Sus scrofa: one gene and its partners. The protein of the gene in region 3 binds, or shares a complex with, the protein of the main gene of each other region. Links are inferred from orthologs where the notes say so. Each region holds a gene or a part of one and is shown on either strand. Other genes may lie near its edges.

Region 1 (3,751 bases), on a different chromosome or scaffold from region 3:
ACGTGTTCTAGAAACCCCATAGTATACTTTGGCTGAATTGTTGGCATTCTTTTTTAATCACTGTGTTCCATTGTCTATCAACACAGTTGTTCACATTTTCTAGCAAATACCAAGAAACAGCAGGTGCACACTGAAATACACAAATGGTGGTCAATGTCATCAAGAGCGTTCAAAAAACATCATGCTAAACTAAGGGATCTCAGCGCCCCAAAATACCAAAATGGCAATGTCAGACGCTAGATTCCAATGAAAAGAAGAGCTTCATGAAAAGGGAAAAAAAATTTTACTTTCTCTCTCTCCCATCTCTATATATCTATTTTATGTATGCATGTATTTACAAATTATCTAACAGAGAGCTTATATGTAGTATTGACTAATGTTAAGTAAGGAGTCCACGTGTCACACTGTGGTGACTAGTCCAGAATAAAACCCCATATATATACACACACATATATGTGTACGTGTGCGTATATATAAAAGGGTAAAAGGGCAAATCCAGGCCTTATCCTAACACTCTCATTTATTCACACTATATTTTTCAAAAGAAAATACATTACTGATAAGGAAAAAGACTAGCAGAGATTAGTAAACATTGCAAGCTACCAAGGTCCCAAGTGCTAAAGCCATTTCAAACCCTAGCTAACCTTTTTGATGATATAGATATATACTAGGAGGTATGAATGGCAAGAAAGGAGAAAGGAAATCTTTCTCACCGGTCCTATCTTCTTCTGGGCCACCCTCAAAATCCCAATTGACAGGAGCAGATTTGTACATAAGACAGTGAGCAATACACAAACTTAATGCTGCGTGAATGAGTGAATGAACGAAGAGTAGGTGCAGAGTTGCCCTTCCTGAGAAACCAGCCTTATATTAGGCCTTGGAGAGCTCAGGAGGACTTCCGCCAGGTGCCCCCTGGGGCAGCTATTGCCCAGGTGCCCGTGGTCTGACCTGGCCCAGATCCTCAAGCCTTGCAGCGGAAGAGAGGGCCATTCTGAAAGGCTCCTGGAGGCGCCTTCGCGGGAATCGTGGGACCGTAATCTCCAGCCCCATCCCAAACTGGGTCGCTGCGGACTCTGCCCAAGCCCCAGCCGACTGTGGGCAGAAAGGGACAAGCTGAGAAGCATAATCAAAGAGCACAGGCGTAAAGACCAAGAGAAACGGCGGGACAAACACAGAAAGTCGGAACTGAAAAAGAGCCAGTTCATCGGGGCAGCCCCTGGGTCACGCCGGAAGGGCGGCGCTCGAGGGGCCCGCGGGCAAGGGCCTATTGGTAGCAGAGATTTCCGATCAGTTGGGCAATTGGCGGGGGTGGCTTGCAGCCGCTGGAGGCTCGTGCGCCGGGAGCGTCCGGCTGGGCTTACCTAACTCTCCCGCTCGCGGAAGAGAACGGGAGGGCTACTACCTCCCACCATCAGGTGCAACTCGCCGCCCTGAGTCTCGCGCAGGCGCAGGCCAGCAGGGCGGAGACCGAAGGCCTCACAACCAATCGCAGAAGTGGAGAGGTGGGCCAAGAAGGAAGCCCCGCCTTCCCGCTCTCCTTTATTCCTCCCGCGGCTTTCCAGGTGTAGAATAGGCGGGGCGGAGGATCCGGAAGTGGACTTTCATAACCCGGAAGGGGAGTGTTTTCTCAGCTGTGGTGTTGATGGTTTCCAGCTCCCGATCCTACTGCGACTGAGGGAATCGTCGCGAAAGGATGGTGTGCGAAAAATGTGAGTTAAGGAAACTCTTCTGCGGGAGAAGAAGGCTGGGACAACCTAACTGGAGTTCCCCGGGACTTTATTCCTTTGTTTTTACTTTGGCCACAAGTCTCTGATTCTAGCCTCTGTTCTGTCCTGCCCTTTGACCATTCCTGCCTCTCCATCGACCGTATAGTCCTCCGTTTGTTGCATTCAGGGTGGTCTCCTTGTCTGTTTTGCACCTCCTTGTCTGTTTCCATTGTTTTCGTTCAACCCCTGAGCTTCTTGACTGGCTCCCTCATTTCAGAGCTTCAGGTTGAAATGGATCTTAAAAGTCGCTTCCACAGCAACTGGAGTTGCTAGGTTTAGCAAATAAAAGTACTGGACGCCCAGTTAAATTTGAATTTCAGGTAAACCAAGAATAATTTTTAGTGTGCGTCCTATGCAATATTTGAGATTTGGCTCTGTTTGCTGCTCCTTACTGCTGTAAAGCAAGGCACTTACTTTTAGGACATTGTCTACTGAAAAAGTATTCATTGTTTATTTGAAATTTAAATCTAACTTTTGGCGCAGGGTTCCATACCTGGCCCAGGAACTTCCACATGCTGTGAGTGCTTAAATGGTCCTTGAACGAATACCCAGAGTATTGAGGAATGGTGGCCGGTGTGTAGGAGAATCTCACCACCTTGGAAGCAGTCCGTGTTGATTTTACTGGCTTTTAGAAAGGTCTTTCCTTCTTCTAGTTGCCGTCCAGTAATTCTAATACCACCCTCTGAGATTTGATATTTTTGCTCCCACAAACTGGTTGTGTATTTAAAAAGAGCAGTCTTATTCCCGTTTTCCTGAGTCTAAACATGTCCTCTTAATTTGATTATCGTCAGTTTGATTATCATCTAATTAACTTGATCCATTTCGTTTACCCCCCCCCCACAGTATATAAAGCCTTATAGCTTTGAACACAGAATTTGAATCACAGTTTTCAGATTAGGTGAAAGAATGACCATGACAGTTACTTTAATACATTCTCAAGGTGCAGAGAATAATTTGGGATTTCTGTATCTGGAGACTGGCATTCAGGATGACCCTCTACAATGAGGCCACATCTTACCTTTTTAACTTTATTTTCACTAACCCTTACCATCTTTACAGTTCAGCCAAGCCAAACTATTTTGCCTGACTGCATGTACCTCGAGTTCTCCACGCCTTTTATCAGGATGTGTCCTTTATCCAGTTTACCTTCATCCTCCTTTCTCCTTTTTCTTCATGGTCTCATTACCACAAACCCTCTCTACTGCCTTCTTCACAAAGCTTTCCTGGATTTCCCTAGTCAAGGTTATTTCTTCCTCCATGGAATGTATCTTAGTACTTCAGCTCTTAACATACTGTTTACTTTCAGTTGAATAATGCTAAACTTTTGTTGTTGTTCTCGGAGCCCTTTGAGAATGTGACAAAAGCTGTGGACTTAACAGAGTCTATTAAAAAAAAAATGGATATACAGAGGTTTGTGTTCAGTTTCATCTTGTTCATGTATTTCCTAAGGTCCACATGTGAAAACTCAGGTTAAGAACTGTTGTTAGAGATAAATCAGTATGATGTAAACTCCTTGAAATCTAGAGCCTTATCTAATTCATTTTATTTTTCTCTGTACTTTGTACAATGGTTTATATATCACTGATATTTAGTAAATGAACAGATTTATCAGATTTGTTTAAAGCATTAATGTACAGAAACAAGCCTATTATAGGCCATACTATTATCCACAGATTTGACTGAGAGTCAGTTATCCATGGCCCACAATTAGTATCATAAGTCTCAGTTCACTGGCCCCAAGCCTCAGCAATAACAGATTTGTATGTAATATGAATATTAATACCATTGTAAACTTAAGGCACAATGTAGTGTATTTATTAGATAGTAATGCTAACCCCCCCCCACTTTTGTTATCTTGTTATAACAGGTGAAAAGAAACTTGGTACTGTTATCACTCCAGATACATGGAAAGATGGTGCAAGGAATACCACAGGTATTTTTCCTTTTAGAACATAGAAATTAAATCAGATACTTCCTGTGAATAA
Region 2 (3,306 bases), on a different chromosome or scaffold from region 3:
CTCAGGAACTTTAATTCTGTTCTCACTTAATAGTCACAATAATCACAATAATCCTTTATCACAGATATTGGGTCTTCATCTTATGGGTAAGTTTAATGTAAAGAAATAACTGCTGTAGTACACAGCAGTCCAGCAACCACCACAGCACATTACAGAATAAGTCTGTATTTATTTACTTATTTAATTTTATTTTTACAGCTATACCTGCGGCATGCTTAAGTTCCCAGGCCAGGGGTCGAATTAGAGCTGCAGCTGGGGTTTATGTCACAGCCATGACACCACCAGATCTGAGCCACCTCTGCGACCTTCGCCACAGCTTAGTAATGCTGGATCCTTAACCCACTGAGTGAGGCCAAGAATAGACCCCACACCCTCACAGAGACAATGTCAGATCCTTAACCTGCTGAGCCACAATGGGAACTCCCAGAATAAGCCTTTAAACCATGGAGTAAACACCCTTATTCTGACCTTACCAGTCTTTCCCTATTAGACTGACACCTCTTATTAGAGAAAAAGAAGTTGTTTTGCCAAGGAAAACACCACAAAGAATAAACAAGGAGTTAAGTTTTATTTTCTCTGTGCATTTGCAAAGCACTTCGGACCAACATAGAGGGGGAAAAAAAACCTCCTGTGGAAAAAAAATTACACTTACAAAAAAGGCCTGAGAGGGATTAGTGCCCTAGCCCCTGCGAGCTACAGCAACTCTGATTGGTCCAAGGAAGTGAAAAGATATTGGGAGGACATAACAGGAGCAAAGACAGTGAGAAATCACTGAGGAAGAGGGCCTCGAAGTGGGCCTCGAGGGGGAACTGGAGGCCGGGGAGTGGGTCTGGGTGGAGGGAGGGGTCCTCGCTGGTAGCCATATGGTGGAGGTCGTGGAGGGCCAGTGTATCCATGAGGGGGCATCAGTGGGGGAGGTCCGCGCATACCATGTGGTGGCATAGGACCAGGGTGACCTGCAGGAAAAGAACGAACTTAGTAAAAACAATTAGGAGATAATTGGGACAAATAGGACAAAACATTGGGACAGTGAAGGAAGAGGAGAGACAAGCAAACAGTGAAAAGAAATACAAGAATGAAAAGAAAGAACACACAGGGGATAAGAGGTGTGACTAAAGAAGCTGCAAGAATATGACACATGAGGACAAGAGAGGTGGCCAGAACCTACTCACCCATGGGCGATCCAAATGGAGGCCCTCGAGGGGGCATGCCCATTGGAGGAGGTCCAGGATGAGGCATTCCAGGTGGTGGTCGAGGTGGTGGCTGCCCTCCAGAGCCAGGGGGCCCAGCATGGGGGTGTCCTAAGCCATGAGGGCCATGGTGGGCCAGCTGCATCTGAGACATCCCTATGAGAACAAAACAGACACAAACACAAAGGAGACAAAAGAAAATCAGACAAGGGGGCAAAGAAAATGAGAAAGAAAAGAGTAAGGAAAATAAGGCTGGTAAAAAGTGCCCTTATCCTTGACTCCAAGCAAGAGAACCAACCAACCTATGATCCAATCAATTCCCAACCACCCAGCTGGCTCCTTCCATGATTTAGGCACTGTACAAGTGCTGCAGAAGTATGTAACAAATGGAACGATTATGCTATTGAATAGGATTTGAGAAGGTAACAGAGATACTGCCTGAACCAAGATCCAATTCTGAAGGATAAAGAGGAATTTTTCAGGGGGACAACAAGTGGGAACAGAACATTCTAGGCAAAATGATTAGCACGTGCAAAGCACAAGTACGTCCAAAAGCACAGTATGTTATAGGAAAACCAGTAAGTCGGTAATCAGGAGAATGCAGTTGTGGGAACAATGAGGAGCCAGATCATGACAAACCTAGAACTGCTATGCTAACAAGTTTGGCCTTTACTCGATAGGTAAAAGGGAGCAAAAGAATTTTGAGCAAGGGTGTGTGAACATCTATATTTTAGAAAAATTACTCACTGAAAGTCGATCGAAGGTAGAGATAATTAGAGTCAAAGTGTCAGAAAATTACTACAATAAATTAGGTGTGGAATAATGAGGATATGAGAGCCTGAACTAGGGCACTGACAATGAGGGCTGATGGCAGAGGTATTAATAAGACTTGGTATTAAGAGTGGGGTGGAGTTCCTGTCATGGTGCGTAAGGTTGTGCGTTCGATCCTTGGCCTTGCTCAGTGGGTTAAGGATCCGGTGATGCCATGAGCTGTGGTGTAGGTCACAGATGCGGCTCAGATCTGGTGTTGGTGCAGCTGTGGCGTACGTAGGCTGGCAGCTACAACTCCAATTAGACCCCTAGCCTGGGAACTTCCATATGCCGCAGGTGCGGCCCTAAAAAGACAAAAGACAGAAAAAAAAAAGAGTGGGGTAACAGGGAAGAGTCAAACATAGCTCCCAGATTTCTGAATCAAGCACCTGAAAACTAAGACTACTAGAGAAAGAATAAGGTTGAAGGGCAGGGGTATAAAAGTAGTCATCCAGTAGTTCCCGTCGTGGCGCAGTGGTTAACGAATCCGACTAGGAACCATGAGGTTGCGGGTTCAGTCCCTGCCCTTGCTCAGTGGGTTAACGATCCGGCATTGCCGTGAGCTGTGGTGTAGGTTGCAGGCGCGGCTCGGATCCCGTGTTGCTGTGGCTCTGGCGTAGGCCGGTGGCTATAGCTCCGATTCAACCCCTAGCCTGGGAACCTCCATATGCCGCGGGAGCGGCCCAAGAAGTAGCAACAAAAACAACAACAACAACAACAACAAAAAGACAAAAGACAAAAAAAAAAAAAAAAAGTAGTCATCCATTAAACAGTAAGATTAAGGGTATGGAATGTTAATACCCATGGAACAGCCACCCATCTAGGTGGCATCAGTGTACAAACAATGGGACTGTGCAAAAAAGAGAGCCAGACACAAAAACCTCAGCTGAGAAAAAGGAGCCTATTAAGGTGGCTGAGATTGAGGATTCAGAGAGAAAGAGAATCCATAAAAACCAAAAAAGACAAGATTTTCAAACAGGAGGACACGGCCAGTTTCAAGAATAGCAAAGATCAAACAAGATAAGGAGCAGCCTAGACTTGGCATGTAGGTGACTGCTTTGGGGTGGAAGTCAGAGGAAAGAATGGAAGTAAAGGTTAAGAAAACAAAACCCAGCAAGTATAGTTATACTCTTCGGTAAAACTTTAAGAAATGAAAACAGGCTGATAGTTGTTAAAGTAAACAGGCTAAAGTATTTTGTGTTTGTTTCTATAAAAGAATGTCTGGGAGTTCCCGTCGTGGCGCAGTGGTTAACGAATCTGACTAGGAACCATGAGGTTGCGGGTTCAATCCCTGCCCTTGCTCAGT
Region 3 (3,651 bases):
TACACGTTCGTTGTCTGCTGATTCAGTCTTAAGTTTGGAAGTCAGCGCTGCGTATGACGCCTGGCGGGGCGGGCAGGAGGGGCAGGGCATCACGTGAAAGGCAGACCTCACCTCTGTTGAGGCCGGTGCTCCCCACTTCCGGTTCTGTGTGGCTCTCTTTTCGCCCCGGGCTCCTCGCGTCCATGCCTGCCCTTCCCGGCTCTCTGATCTAGAGGCACGTGGTGATTCCTTTCCTTGCACGTTGCTTCTCGCTGTGTCTGGTTCTCTGCTTATTATATGAACTGGATACACTTGTGGCTGGAATTGTATGCTGGTTGAGTAATTTCTTAAGTTTAAGTTTTTTTTTTTTTTGTCTTTTTGCCTTTTCTAGGGCCACTCCCGTGGCATATGGAGGTTCCCAGGCTAGGGGTCTAACTGGAGCTGTAGCCCCTGGCCTACGCCAGAGCCACAGCAGTGCGGGATCTGAGCCGCGTCTGCAACCTACAGCTCATGGCAACACTGGAGGATCCTTAACCCACTGAGCAAGGGCAGGGATGGAACCCACAACCTCATGGTTCCTAGTTGGATTCGTTAACCATTGTGCCACAATGGGAACTCCAAGTTTAAAGTTTTTAATTAAATACTCTGAATAGGTGATAGTTGTGGGTGGTGTACAAATGCAGCAAGTGCCGAAGTAGGTGGTGAGAACTGTGCCTTGTCAGGCCCTAGTCACCCAGGTCTCTGCAGAGGGAGCTGAGGAGTCAGTCCCTTGATCCCATGGCTTAAAAATTATTTGATGTACGTAGCTGATTGTGATTTCTTATGATGCATCTATTTTGTTCTGCACGGGTCGTGTAACTTTGAGGGGCTGGACTGAGCAGGAAGCATTTGGGTGACTTGGGAGTTAAGACGGATGAGGTTTCCCCCATCTCTTTTGGGAGCGGGAGGCCAGATCTGGCCAGAGTTGGACTTTGAGGGCCTTTCCCGTACCCCGTGCCATCCCCGCAGGAGGAGCAGAAGACCATGAAGTCCAAGATGCGAGAGAAGGTCCGGCCCAAGATGGGCAAGATCGACATCGACTACCAGAAGCTGCACGACGCCTTCTTCAAGTGGCAGACCAAGCCCAAGCTGACCATCCACGGGGACCTGTACTACGAGGTCGGCAGCGGGGGCGGGGAGGGCGGGGGCAGGGCTCTGCCTTGGGTCACCACCCCGGAACGCCGGGTCCCAGGGGCTTTGGAAGCTGGAGGTGGGGCCGGTGGCCCTCTCGCCTCAGGCTCTGGGTTGTCCACTAGCTGCCCTTGGATGGGGTGGCATTTGCAGCGAGGGGTGCTTTTCTGGAGGAGGGATGCGGATCGCATCTTCGAGGCAGCAGTCGTGTATGTGGGTAGTTTAGAAACAGGGGCCGAGGGCAGATGCTTTAGGAAACATTCCCTCTTGGGGGCAGGAGAAAATTGTCTTGTTTTGGTTTTTTTGTTCTGGCCCTTGAGATGTTAGTCAGCGCGGTGTCGTGGGATTTTTGAGGCCGAAGGCCCTTGGAGACGGTCTTCTCCAAGCCCCCACCCGGGAGATGAGAAAGCCTGTCCTTAGAAGTGGCTGTGCGCTCACAGCGGGAGTGCCTGCCCCCTCCACTTCCTGGCTTTTATCATCATTCCCCACCCCCGGCGCGGCCGGGGGCAGAGGTGACGAGAACCCTGGGAACTAGGTAGTCCTCCGAGGGACTCTGTCTGCTGTGGTTTGGGACCTCTTTGTTCTCCCGCCCCCTGGCAGGTAACCTCCCAGTGTGTGTCTGGAGCCCACAGCACGGCATGCTCTGCTTTTTCCTCAGGGGAAGGAGTTTGAGACACGGCTGAAGGAGAAGAAGCCAGGCGATTTGTCTGATGAGCTGCGGATTTCCTTGGGGATGCCAGTAGGACCAGTGAGTGCCAGTTACCTGGCTGGGCAAACAGAGAAGAGGTTGGGCATGGGGCGGGGGAGCCAAGGGCTCGGGTCGGGCAGGTGGGAGCCCGTCCTCTCTCGTCCTGCAGAACGCACACAAGGTCCCTCCCCCGTGGCTGATCGCCATGCAGCGCTACGGGCCGCCCCCGTCGTACCCCAACCTGAAGATCCCGGGGCTGAACTCGCCCATCCCCGAGGTGAGAGCTTTCCTTTCTGTCCTTCTTCTAAGGGAGGAGCTGGCTCTTTAACTAGAGGAGGATTTTTTTTCTTTTCTTCTACTGTGTGTCTTTTGGCTTTTTTTCAAATTAAAGGAGTATGGTTTTTGTTTTAAGAAAACCACGAGACGTGTGTCATAAAATGGTCAGTCAGAATTGAGAACAAAGATGAAAACACATATTGCTCACATTTCACCACTCAGAAATAACCAGGTTTAATATCTGGTGAATGTATTTCCAGATATCTCTCTCTGATGTGTACATGGATGGACAGATAGAATTTTAAGAGTGGCATTAAACTTATTTTTTTTAATTTCTTTTCTTCAGAAATCTCTATATTGAGGTAATACCATTGGAGAAATAGTCAAAACTTAAAAAACCTTTAGAGAATGAACTTCATGCTGTTTTCTTTCTTTTTTTCATTAAAAATAGTAATCTATTTTGTTGCAAATTATTTTTATTTTTTACCTTTTTTTCTTTTTTTATGGCTGCACCCATGGCATATGGAAGTTCTGGGGCCAGAGATTGAATCTGAGCCGCAGCTGTGCCCTACTCCACAGCTGCAGAAAAACTGGATCTGGAGTTCCCGTCATGGCTCAGTGGTTAACAAATCCGACTAGGAACCATGAGGTTGCGGGTTCAGTCCCTGCCCTTGCTCAGTGGGTTGGGGATCTGGCGTTGCCGTGAGCTGTGGTGTAGGTCAAAGACGCGGCTTGGATCCCGCATTGCTGTGGCTCTGGTGTAGGCTGGCAGCTACAGCTCCGATTCGACCCCTAGCCTGGGAACCTCCATGTGCCGCGGGAGTGGCCCAAAGAAATAGCAAAAAGAAAAAAAAAAGAAAGAAAAACTGGATCTTTTAACCCGCTGTGCCAGGGTGGGAATCAAACCCTAGCCTCTATAGTGACCTGAGCAGTTGCAGCCAGATTCTTACCCCATTGCACCACAGCAGGAACTGCTAAGTTTGTTTTTAAATAAAAAGCAATAAAAAATTTCACAGACAACAGTCATTAAAATGGGAAAGAAGTGATTGTTAAATTTCAGATAAAAATTTCTGTTACTTTGAGTTCCTGTTGTGGCTCAATGGTAATGAACCCGACCAATAGCCATGAAGACCTGGGTTTGATCCCTGGCTTCACTCAAGTGGGTTAAGGATCTGGTGTTGCCACCAGCTACGGTGTAGGTCACAGACATGGCTCGGATCTGGCGTTGCTGTGGCTGTGGCATAGGCCGGCAGCTGCAGCTCAGATTCGATCCCTAGCCTGGGAACTTCCACATGGCACAAGCCCTTAAAAAAAAAATTCTGTCACTTTAGAGAACTAGATTCTGAAAGCTTGCCAACATTAGGAACATCAGTAAGAAGTTGGAGTCGTGTCTTGCAAAGTACATGTTTCAGTTTTAGGCAGCATGAACTCCACCCTGAAGGCTGAAGTTACTAGCAGGCTTTCTGCTTCCCATCTCCGTATCCTGTTACCTCCAGATTTTTGTCGCTTAGCACTCTTGCTTTGTAATGCTCTGTGAC

Evidence for each region.
Region 1: SF3B2 (region 3) and CRIPT share a complex: the UniProt entries of both Homo sapiens proteins name them as parts of the minor spliceosome. The link is inferred for Sus scrofa from reciprocal best matches to the Homo sapiens genes SF3B2 and CRIPT.
Region 2: SF3B2 (region 3) and SF3B4 share a complex: the UniProt entries of both Homo sapiens proteins name them as parts of the SF3B subcomplex of the 17S U2 SnRNP complex. The link is inferred for Sus scrofa from reciprocal best matches to the Homo sapiens genes SF3B2 and SF3B4.

What each region holds. Positions count from the first base shown.
Region 1 is NC_010445.4:93,923,725-93,927,475, reverse strand, and holds the start of CRIPT (cysteine-rich PDZ-binding protein), read left to right. Parts: upstream 1-1,559; 5' UTR 1,560-1,693; coding exon 1,694-1,709; intron 1,710-3,633; coding exon 3,634-3,699; intron 3,700-3,751. UniProt on the Homo sapiens protein: As a component of the minor spliceosome, involved in the splicing of U12-type introns in pre-mRNAs. Involved in the cytoskeletal anchoring of DLG4 in excitatory synapses.
Region 2 is NC_010446.5:99,126,462-99,129,767, reverse strand, and holds the end of SF3B4 (splicing factor 3B subunit 4), read right to left. Parts: intron 1,347-3,306; coding exon 1,173-1,346; intron 957-1,172; coding exon 769-956; 3' UTR 550-768; downstream 1-549. UniProt on the Homo sapiens protein: Component of the 17S U2 SnRNP complex of the spliceosome, a large ribonucleoprotein complex that removes introns from transcribed pre-mRNAs.
Region 3 is NC_010444.4:6,283,575-6,287,225, reverse strand, and holds part of SF3B2 (splicing factor 3B subunit 2), read left to right. Parts: intron 1-987; coding exon 988-1,137; intron 1,138-1,807; coding exon 1,808-1,897; intron 1,898-2,006; coding exon 2,007-2,114; intron 2,115-3,651. UniProt on the Homo sapiens protein: Component of the 17S U2 SnRNP complex of the spliceosome, a large ribonucleoprotein complex that removes introns from transcribed pre-mRNAs.